3 linked regions of the Xenopus tropicalis genome follow. The protein of the gene in region 3 purifies or fractionates together with the protein of the main gene of each other region. This does not show direct contact. Links are inferred from orthologs where the notes say so. Each region holds a gene or a part of one and is shown on either strand. Other genes may lie near its edges. The genes, in order: ctdp1, scaf1 and polr2g.

What was found.
Region 1: the proteins of polr2g (region 3) and ctdp1 purify together in Homo sapiens (affinity purification with mass spectrometry; 4 studies listed by BioGRID and IntAct, counting the BioPlex papers as one, with this or other methods). This does not show direct contact. The link is inferred for Xenopus tropicalis from reciprocal best matches to the Homo sapiens genes POLR2G and CTDP1.
Region 2: the proteins of polr2g (region 3) and scaf1 purify together in Homo sapiens (affinity purification with mass spectrometry; 3 studies listed by BioGRID and IntAct, counting the BioPlex papers as one, with this or other methods). This does not show direct contact. The link is inferred for Xenopus tropicalis from reciprocal best matches to the Homo sapiens genes POLR2G and SCAF1.

The regions. Positions count from the first base shown.
Region 1 is NC_030682.2:97,277,114-97,280,769, forward strand, and holds part of ctdp1 (RNA polymerase II subunit A C-terminal domain phosphatase), read right to left. Parts: coding exon 3,606-3,656; intron 2,161-3,605; coding exon 2,067-2,160; intron 1,469-2,066; coding exon 1,340-1,468; intron 462-1,339; coding exon 311-461; intron 1-310. UniProt on the Homo sapiens protein: Processively dephosphorylates 'Ser-2' and 'Ser-5' of the heptad repeats YSPTSPS in the C-terminal domain of the largest RNA polymerase II subunit. This promotes the activity of RNA polymerase II.
Region 2 is NC_030683.2:110,787,722-110,791,377, reverse strand, and holds part of scaf1 (splicing factor, arginine/serine-rich 19), read right to left. Parts: intron 2,964-3,656; coding exon 2,854-2,963; intron 2,608-2,853; coding exon 2,471-2,607; intron 2,095-2,470; coding exon 1,970-2,094; intron 1,353-1,969; coding exon 1-1,352.
Region 3 is NC_030680.2:34,586,512-34,590,200, forward strand, and holds the start of polr2g (DNA-directed RNA polymerase II subunit RPB7), read right to left. Parts: upstream 2,932-3,689; 5' UTR 2,664-2,931; coding exon 2,652-2,663; intron 1,468-2,651; coding exon 1,358-1,467; intron 880-1,357; coding exon 720-879; intron 1-719. Other genes in the region: zbtb3 (zinc finger and BTB domain-containing protein 3), read left to right, coding at 3,460-3,689. UniProt on the Homo sapiens protein: Core component of RNA polymerase II (Pol II), a DNA-dependent RNA polymerase which synthesizes mRNA precursors and many functional non-coding RNAs using the four ribonucleoside triphosphates as substrates.

The sequences.
Region 1 (3,656 bases), on a different chromosome or scaffold from region 3:
TTGTAATTCCAAATGAAATGGTACTACCTCAACCTTTCCTCTTTGACTTTGTAAAGTTTTAAAACCTAAATAATACATTTTCAAAAAAGGAAAAACAATTAGCTTTTCCAGAAATGCACTTAAATATACCATCTTGGAAAAATCTGCATGGTAAGACTGGCTTAGTCATCTAGGTATATACTGAAAAAAATGTTTATGTCTTATTAGAGCTCATAAGAGTTGCTAACCCATAAGAAAGAGTTCCAGTTAGATATTCTTGATAATAAACTGGCTTTAGATAGATGTGCCAAAAGTGCATAAAACTGCACACCTGCTATAGTATGGGCATACAGTCTGCTACCAAAAGTGAAGACATGCAGTTCAAACAGCTTTGCAATCTTCTCTAAGAATTCTTTGCAGTGAGGACGTAGCCGAGTGTGGAGCATTGGTTCTCCCCTTCCTAGCTGAAAGTGAAATATGCCCTGTAAGGAAATAAGCAAAGACTTCAATCCATGTTGAAATTATTAGCTTTGTTTTACAGTGACACAGAAATTGGGCATCCTTTTACCGACCCACTCAAAACAGAAAATCAGGTAAGCACATAGCAAGCAAGTTGCACATAACTCAGTTATTATAGTAACGTGTACTGATAAAAACACACACCTGGGAATGAAGTCATGTTTTGTATCTTTCAATTTTTTACAACCCCAAGTTACTGATCGGTTTAACCTTTTTTGAGGATCACCAGTATAGAGTAGGGTTTTTAGTATATTTAAAGCCAATGCAATGAATATATTTATCCCTACACTACATGAACTGTTTGTCTATAACCTAGAGAATTTTTTAATTTAAATAAAATTATATTTATTTATATTGCTGCAGGTCAGTGTCTGGGGTGGGAAAAATATAGGGAACATCATGAAAGAAGGAAAAAAAAGAGGAGAAAATGTCTCCAGGCCAAGAATAGTAAGTAAAAAGATATCAGGGAGAGAAACATAATGGGGCTATTAAAAGGACAAAGGAAGAGAAGGAACGTGAAGAGTGGAGGAAAAAACAAGGAAGATGAAGAAAACTGATGGAGAAAAAAGGGAATGACCGGACGAAAATGAGGAAATGGGGTAAACAGGATCTAGTTTCTAACTATGGTTGCAAAAAATGGTGGGGAAGATAAACCAAACATTATCTGTTTCCATAATGACAAGGAATACAAAATTAATTTTAACTGATTCACCTAGCCTAAAAAAAAACCAACAGTATTTCAAGTATTTTTTTCAAAGTATAGCTTTTATTTCACAAAATGCAGTCTTCCATTAAGAAAATTGTTAATCATTGAAATCCAAATAAGTTTAGACAAAATTACCTTTCTAGACATATGCTGGCAATGTTGTTCCGTGGTGTGGATTAAAGTCTGATCTAAATCAACCATAAGGACCAGTTTCCTATTTCGATGTAATCTAAGTTGGTCTTCACGACCTAGTTGCTCTGCTTTCTGAAGAAAAAAAAAAAAAAAGCAAAATATTTTCTCTCTTATTTTCTGCTTTCACCTTTGCTAGAAGAAAGATTTATAGATATTCCCTGGGGTTCTTCTATACAAATACAAACATGGTATTGTGGCATAGGGTTGGATTATCAAGTTTTTAAAAGCATCTTGCCATATTCTGACCATGTATGTATGGCTAGAAACCGCACCATAAGGTGATCAAAAAAAAAAATTAAGCACTTTTTTTTTTGTAAAGGCAAAGGAAGGAAGAGGATCGCTCACCTGCATGTACCCCAAGCTGGTGAGATTTTCTGCTAACAGAAGTACCAGTCTGGCGTATCAGGTAAGCAATCTTAATAACTGGGGGTGCCTAACATTTAGCATAGCATAGCATAGTTTTCTAGTATAGGACACCGAACAGAAATGTTTGCTCTTCGTTATCAAGTATTCCTTACACTGCTGTGTAAGGGGGATTGAACTAAGTGCTTGAAAAGTATCAAGGATAGTATATTAGAACTTCCTCACATATTTTCTGATGCAAATAAAAAAATGCAACATTATTTTTCCACAAGAATTCTAGACCAAATGTAAAATACCATATACTTACTTCTGAGCTAACCATGAGTTCTGGGACACTATGAACCATAGAAACTGTGGCTGTTGAATAAGGCACCTGCTGCTTTCCATTCTTACTTTGTAATCTAAATAAATAAAACGTTACAATAAGGGACATATCACAAAATCATATTTACTGGAACTGGCCTAAATATGAGGCTAGTATGACAGGTTAAGATTGTTCCTAATGTGAACCTGTAATGCCATGACTTCACAACAATGTAAAACTGAACAGAAAAAAACATTAACAAATAATTACATTTTCATATCTTGCTCAAATTCAAATATGCAAATGTATGTTATTTATAAGATAAGGCTTTCCATTTAAGAAAAATGCATGGATACATATATCTGTCATCACACAGACTTCATGGATACAAATACCTGTGATTAAACAGATTTTTGTCTTAGATGTTAGAAAATAATTTATCCAGTCTGTTAGAGATTTCCACGATTTGCAAATTAAATATGTGCATTTAAGTGCACATTTTGCCAATTTTTGGCCAAACAGCCCACTTGTCTGGAAAATAGATTGTCAGACTAATTATTTATACTTTTATGGTAGTAATGTAAGTAAAAGCATAAAAACAGAATCTCTGGGAAGTCTTATCAAATGAAGCTTAGCAAGAGTTTGGTGTAGAGTCTTGCACGGTCTATCCAAGGCAGACCAGTGCCTGATTCGGACCCCCACTGACTCGATTCCCAACCCTGCACCCGACAACCAATATGTCCTCCTACCCAGACCCACTACCTTACCTTCAGACCTGAGACCACAAAACTGGAAGTGATGTCACTGTGTACTGGAAGTGACGTCACTCTGGGGCCAGATCAGAAGGGGAAAAAACTTGCAGTATCCTCAGGCGAGGGATCACTCCCACACCTTAGTGTGGTCCACAGGTGGGTTAACCACGGACTGCCCTCAATGTCAAGACAAATGGGGACTTTCTGCCCGAAACCCAACCACTTTGGGGGTATTCCTTGGGTACCCGTGGATACCTGACCCCATGCACTCTGTTTTAGGTGAATGTCTTGCATCACCTAGTTAAAGTAATATATCAGTATCAAAACAGCTTAAACAGTCAGCTGAAACATAAAACTAAAAGTCTGCAAAATGAGATATTAATGGGTGGAATCTATTAACCTCAACAGTTTTACAAGGTGAAATGATCTTGAATTCCTTCTAACCATTATGCAGGTGTGATTAGCAGCGAAAGGAAATAAAAAATGGCTTATTGTTGGTAAATCCAGGAGTTTCTATGAAAAACTTACCAGGGTTGTGGGAAAAAGGTTATGTATTCTGTAGTTATATTTTTATATGATTAGCTTATTAAATACAATTAATGCATAGTAATACAAATGTAATAGTAATACAAGCAAAATATAAAATTTCACAGCACATTGGACTGTTTATATTTTTACAGCTAGAAGGATTATTAAATTAATCTCCAAAAAAATCAAAAACGTATAGAATAATTTATCTGCTTATTTAAAAAATAAAAAAATAGACATAAATGAACAAGGAATTACTTACTGTGTTAAGTCTTGGCCACATTCTGCACAAAGGCCCTTCATTACAACAGGA
Region 2 (3,656 bases), on a different chromosome or scaffold from region 3:
CCGCAAATAGGACTTGACATCAGGTTTTGCAATGGATTCAAGTGAAACCTTTATCTCCAATTTGGACTTTGATTCGGATTCTGTTGTAAACTCTGCTTTTCTACTATAATCATTGCCAACATCCACAGCAAACACCCTTCTTCTGGGTTCTGCTACTGCCTCTGACGTGTTTCCATCACTAAGAGTCGAGTCTGCCAGTGGTGGTTCTTTTATACTTTTCTCTTCTGATACTTCCCTCGAAACATCTTCTACTTCATCAGCTCTGTCTAAATCCAAGCTGGAACTCGGGCTGTAAGGCTCAAAAGCAGACTTTGTGTTGTCCTTTGCAGAGGATTCTGAGGATTCTCTGGAATGTTTCTGGTCGGGTTTTTCATTTTCATATTCGTTATTATCATCATTCCCATCCTTGCCTGTGACTTTATCTGATTCACAGGACTGAATTTCCTTCTCCTTCTCTCCACCTGGAAAGTCTTGGCTCAGACTATTTTCATCGTATATTCCAGCCAAAGCTTCTGAGATACGGCCTTCAGCATGTGATTCACTGCCTGCCTCTTCATCCTCTTCGTCCTCATCATAGGGTGAAGGGCTGCTCTCAGAAGAGCTAGGATTGGAGCCAGTAGGATCAAAGGGATCATATTTTTGATCCTCTTGTTCATCTGTTTCTTTCTCAGGTGTGTCATCATATAAATAATCTCCGTTTACATTCTCCTCATCTGTGGGGTGAAAGGGATCATAAATATCAAGTTCTTGGGACTGGTTAGATTGTGCTCCACTGCCACTGCCAGACAGTATTGGCATTTGAGAAGAGGAGGAAGATGAAGAGGAGCTGGAATCTGCCTTTTCCAGAGAATTAGGAGGCTGTGAATGCTGATTAGATGTGGAGCTTTCTGAACCACCAGGTCTCTGCTGTCCACTCGATACCCCTTTTCCATTTCCAAGGGCAAGGCCCAAAGATATAAATGAACCAGGACTAGGTTCAGTTGTTTGTGTATTGCCATGTATTGGGGTAGTCCTGCCAGAACAAAGGCCATTATTCCCTCTAGATCCTCTAAAAGATTTATTTGGATCAGGAACAATCCAAGAAAGTCCAGGTAGCACAGTTTCGGTAGAAGTATGAAGCTGTGAATTTGTTTGTAAGTCCGTTCTGTCTGCAATGCAAACATTCTGTAGAGCATTTCTATCTGTGTGTTTTCTACTCCTGTGAAATGTCTGTGGGGGATTCAGTCTTATGACTGAAGAACTTCTGGTAGGCTCCAATGAGCCTTCCATTCTTGTTGGGTTACACATAACCTTTGCACTGACAGAGGCTGATTGTCCACTTGTAACATGTAGTCCTGAGGTACTTAGGCACACTGCAACAGAAAAGAACATGATATTAAAGAAAAATGCCTATCAGTTAGTTTTATAATGTACAACAACTGCACAGGGAGGCAATATGGGGGCATCTTTGCACATTGGGTCTGTTAGGATCCGCTTGTTGGCCAAGTAGCTAAACAATCTGTTTTGGCCTAGCAGATGGGTGGCCAAATTGGACAAAGGTCGAGCCAACTGACAAGGTCTGGAGAGATTATTTAGTTCCTATGCTCAGTAGCATCGACCACAATCATTACAGTCCAGCCCAAAAACAGGTTCAAGAACAAATATAAAATTAAAAAAATGACATCCACTACCAATAAATATACTGTACACTTACTACTAGTTTCTTCATTTTTTAATGAAGTCCCTATCGATAAAACTAGTACAGCAAGGCAGTACTAGTGAACTCCCAGATGCTCTATTTACCTGGAGCTACACAACCTTAATGAATACTTCACTGTCCATAATGGCAGGTGGCCATGTTGGGCAAGTCGCATGTACAAAATAAGCGAGTCTGTAGATGCAAGCCTGATCTTACGCCATTTGCATGTACATAATGAGTAAGCGGGGTTAGGCGATGCTTAAGGCACAGGATATGTTATTTCCGGCTCACCTGACTTCTGAATTCTCCAATGTCTGTCCCTCCTGGAGATCCCTGAACGAGTATTCCAATAAGATGCAATGTCACCGATCTGAATTTCAGCTACAAGCTCAAATTCATCTACCTCTTCTGCGTCGCTGATGATTTAAAACACAGCAGTTATTCAGTGAGGCAGTTCTATATTCATAAGGGGAAAGGATTACACTAGAGGTCTGTATACTGGGCCTCACTGTATAAATAAATCTGACATATCACAGTCAATACCGAGGCAATCTGCAATTAGTCTTCATTATTTATTTTTTCTTATATGAATAGGATAGGAGCTGACTAATAAACCAAGTAATAAAGAGTAACAACATTAAAACTGTGATCTCATAGAGCAATAGGTTTTTGGCTGCAGGGGTCATTGAAAGCTGGAAAGTGGCAGAAGAAATATAAAGTCCAACTAAAAAGTTGCTATTTTGCAACATGAAACACGTTGGGAAAAATAAAGAAAAGTGATTTGTTACTTACTACCTGGCTCCCAACTCGATAGTTTGTTCCTCATATGGGCGGCTATGAGACCCTGCAGTGATGGTAGTGTTGGTCTTTTCCATGTAATCCAATGCAGCGGCAAAACTGGCCAAGAGATTTCCTGCTGTTTCAGGGATCTGAGAGGATTAGAGAAAATAAAGATCAGATTAAAGCTCTTGTGAGGGCCCTCTGGTGCCATTTTTATTTTCTAACCCATGTTTGTTAAATGATTGTAAGACTCCTGTTTGTAATACATTATTAGTAAAGTGCTGCTTAGCTGCACTGGGGCTACATAAATAAATGATGATGATAATTAAGAATTATTATTATACATGATTACAGTGCCATGTAAATGGGATGAGCGTAGGAAATGTGATACATACAGAATTTTCATTCTCTGCACTGAGAGGTTTTGCATTCCCAGCACCGCTGTGCTTCTTTACTTTCCTTTTCCTACAGGGCTTCGGCAGCTCTGTGCCTTTCTGCTTTGAATCTAAACAATAAAATAAGCATATTACATAAAGGAAACTGGCATGGCAGTCGACAATTAGAGGTACAGGTATCGGACCCCTTATCCGGAAACCCGTTATCCAGAAAGCTCCGAATTACGGAATGCCCGTCTCCCATAGACTCCATTTTAATCAGATAATTCAGAATTTTAAAACTGATTTCCTTTTTCTATGTAGAAATAAAACAGAACCTTGTAATTGATTCCAACTAAGATATAATTAATCCTTATTGGATGCAAAACAATCCTATTGGGTTTAATTAATGTTTTATTGATTTTTTAGTAGACTTAAGGTATTGAGATTCAAATTACGGAAAGACCCCTTATCCGGAATACCCTTGGTCCCGAGCATTCTGGATAATGGGTCCTATACCTGTACCAGCATCTCATGGAAACTTCCATTTATCTAAATTCTTGCACAAGTGCCCCATTTGCCCCATGTGCCAAAGCCTTAAGTAAAGAACCCCCCCCCCTGCAGCTGAACCACCTGTCCGATTTTACTGCCATTATTTAAAGCATTTCTTAAAAGGGGTAGTTTACCTTTAAGTACGTTGTAAAATAGCCAAGTCTTATCAACTTTGATTAGTCCTCATTCTTTATAGTTTTTGAATTATTTGCCGCCTTCTGCCTCTTTCCAGCTATCAAACAGGGGTCACTGACTTCAGCAGTCAAAAAAAC
Region 3 (3,689 bases):
AAGTGCATTGAGTATCCCTGAATCATTCATTCATTCAGGCCAACCTACATCCCTGCTGCTGATCCACCACAAATATTAGCATCCTAATTCATGAAATCTGCAGGCAAAGCAAAAGCGAATGGCGACATGGTACTGCTATTTGCTGTTCAAGGAACAGTAACACCAAAAAAATGAATGTGTTTTAAAGTAATTAAAATATAATGTACTGTTTCCCTGCACTAGTATCACTAATCTGTTTTCTTCAGAAAGACTGCTCTAGTTTATATAGACAAGTTGCTGTGTATCAATGGAGGCAATTGAAATAGGGATAAATGGCATGGGGTAACAGTTAGGCAATGTAGAACACCTTTATATGCTAGAGAGCTTATATGCTATCTGCTATGTAAGCTAAGCCTTTTCTCCTTTGAATGGCTGCCCCATGGCTACACAGCAGCTTATTTATATATTAATATAACTATAGTAGCTTTCCTGAAGCAAACACACCAGACTTACCAGTGCAGGACAACAGCACATTATATTTTAAGTACTTTAATTTAGTGTTACTCTTCCTTTAATGTTTCAACAAATGCTACTGGGACAGAAAAGTTGTGTAAAATTCCAGTCTACATTACCAACTTCTAGTTTCCCCTCGGCATGATGCGATTTTAGTTTACAGCAGCAGGAGGACGCTCTCCTAATTTAAATTAATAGACTGTATGACTGCTTTGTGCTGCTCTCACCTTATTAACCTGGGTCACCACGGCATCTACCACCTCACCCTTGAAAGGACGGAAGACAATGGCCTTGTACTTGACGGGATAAAGCACAAACCCTCTCCCTGGCTGAATCACCCCAGCACCAATGTTATCGATTGTGGTCACTGCAATCACAAAACCATACCTGTGAAGAGACGAAAAGGAACATTAAAAATGCATTTATGAAACACGCAGAGTTTCACTATCACTGTGGCCCCCCTGCCTTCCCACAGCCCCTCATTGCAGACCAGTGCTACAGCTCCTTTCCCAAATGGCTCAGTCATTGGCATCAGGCTTGGATGTCAGACCAAAGTCCTGATAGGTGTAGGATAAATGTAATAATGCCCCCGAACTGTCAGAGTCTGGCCCACCCTTTAAGTGCAACATCAACTACTGAGACATTGTGGAAAAAGCTGTGTTAGAGAACAACACAGGCCCATAAAGGGGTTCTGCATGGTGGCAGGCGAAAACAAGTTTGCAGGGAGACAACAGATAATTTATGGGGCTAATAGCGCCACTCAGCAGTACAATGGCACTAATGTGCAGGAGAAAACATACAACTGTTCTAGTGCATATAAATACAGTGTATACATGCAAAACTACTTACATACATATGTACTTACTTGCCAGTACATGTTCCCTCTACCTCAGTGAAGAGTTTCTGTTTGACAGTGTTGAGAAGGTTAGGGCCAAAATATCTAGGGTGCAGAAGAATTTCATGTTCCAATGAGATCTGAGGATTAAAAAAAAAACAAGAAGAAAATGGCATCACATGACTGTGGCCTAACTGGCTGATATAGACACTGATCGGACCATTCCAATGTTGTCCTCTTCGATATCAATTGCTATTAGCTAATTACCAATAGCTATTACTAATAATCCACTAGCTACACCAAAACTTTAGTACTTTAGTGACTATATTATAGTCTGGCCCTCGAGCATGTACTATAGTGAACTGGCCAACTACAGGAAAACAGTTTGACTTATAATATCCCTATATTTTAGAATAGGGGGTACTTAAAAGGGCTGTGGAGTTGGTAGATAAATTCTCCGACTCCGACTCCTCAGTTTCTGATACTTCCGACTCCGACTCCTCTGTTTTTAATATGCTAATGTATTTTATACATTCATTGAAGGAAAGGAAGGAGACATACATGTCATTTAACTACAGAACTACTGGCTCTGCATTGGGCTTTATTCTTATAGCAGAGAAGTAATTAATTATGACTGTTTGTGAATTGGGACATTTAAACTTGCTTTATTTTAATTTTTTTTATTCCCATTTAAATTTAGTAGGAGTCGGTTCATTTCTTGCCGACTCCGACTCCAGGTACCCAAAATTGCCTCCGACTCCTCGACTCCGATTTCACAGCCCTGGTACTTAATTCACTATATAATACACAAAAGCCATGAATATCCTGTAAGTTATATCCTTATAACTGGTGCTTAGTGATGTTATTTCCGTCACACGACTCACACGTGTATTATAATAAATAGAAGGATATTAGAAGTCACCCAGGAGTTCCATCACTCTGCCTTTGGCCTCTTGCTTTAATATGGTCAAGGAAGTCCTAGGTGACTTATAATAGCCTTATATTTTACAACAGGGGGTACTTTAGTCACTACATTATAGTCTGGCCTTCGAGAATGTACTATAGTGAACTGGCCAAGCACATAAAACAGTTTGCTCTATGGTCCAAAAAGGCATATAAGGAGGATCCAGGAGGCCAGGCCAGTGCCTCAGGAACATACAACAGCTGTACCCGACCTAGTAACCCGCAGGTAAAGGGCTTCACAGAAAACAAGCAACACTTACAAAATGATGCAATAAGTCACATAGGATTCTGTACACTTACATAAACACTTACCGCCTGTGATAATTCATGCCCAAAGCAATAAAACAGACACTGGACTTACATGGTAGAACATTCCGTGGCCCCGCAGTCACTTTCTTTGCTGCACGATGTACCCAATATGCTCTATTCCGGGAACAATAAAGCTCGTTTAAAAGGCGGCGCGATTGTATGTCCCCGCTTGTTGGCGTCACACAACAGGAAATGACGTGAGGCAGCGATGTGTGGCAGAACCGGCTCGGCTCCGGGTAATCCGAGGATTCGGTGTGTAATGTAGTGTACTGTAATGTAGAGAATCGAGAGGAACCGAGCTGCGGAACTGAACACCCACCTAGAGGCTACCGGGGATCCCGCTGTCTAGTACGTTGCGCATTGGCTACAACCACTGTCCACAACCAACTCTACAGGCCAACCAGAGCATTGGGGACGGGCCGGAGAGAAAGTGACCAATAGGCTGGCGGCAAGGGCGTGGTTTTCGTGATTTGCTTTGTGCAGGTAAAGAGGATGTCTGGATCACGTGACCGAAAATGAAATGCTGTATTTTAGTTGAAATGTTGACATTGTGAAGCTGATGTCGCAGTGTGTATATAATATACCCTATTGCTATTGACATTTCTTTTAATTAACCAAGAGAGGACTGAGGCTGGAGGTGAAGTAGTTTGCCTGTATCTGAAACAGAGGTGGGAACAACTATTGTATTTTTAACTTCTATTTATTAAGTGGACAGATAAATTTAATATCATTTGTCATCATCTACAATACTCCATTATTGCAAATATTACAGATATGACTTGCATAATTTGAAAGACTAGAGTGTTTGACTGCTTGCTCTGTAAATGTAATGCTGTTTTTCTCTCTTTACTGTTTCAGTCATGGAGTTTCCAGATCACAGTCGCCGTATCCTGCACAGTTTACGTGACCAGCAGTTGCAAGGTTTTCTGTGCGATTGCCAAGTGATAGTTGGTACTGCCCACTTTCTGGCTCACCGCTCTGTCCTGGCCTCTTGCAGCCCCTTTTTTCACATGTCATGCAGGGAGCATCCAGATACACGGGACCTCACCCTAAATAGCCAGATTGTTACAGCACCAGCATTTTCTCTGCT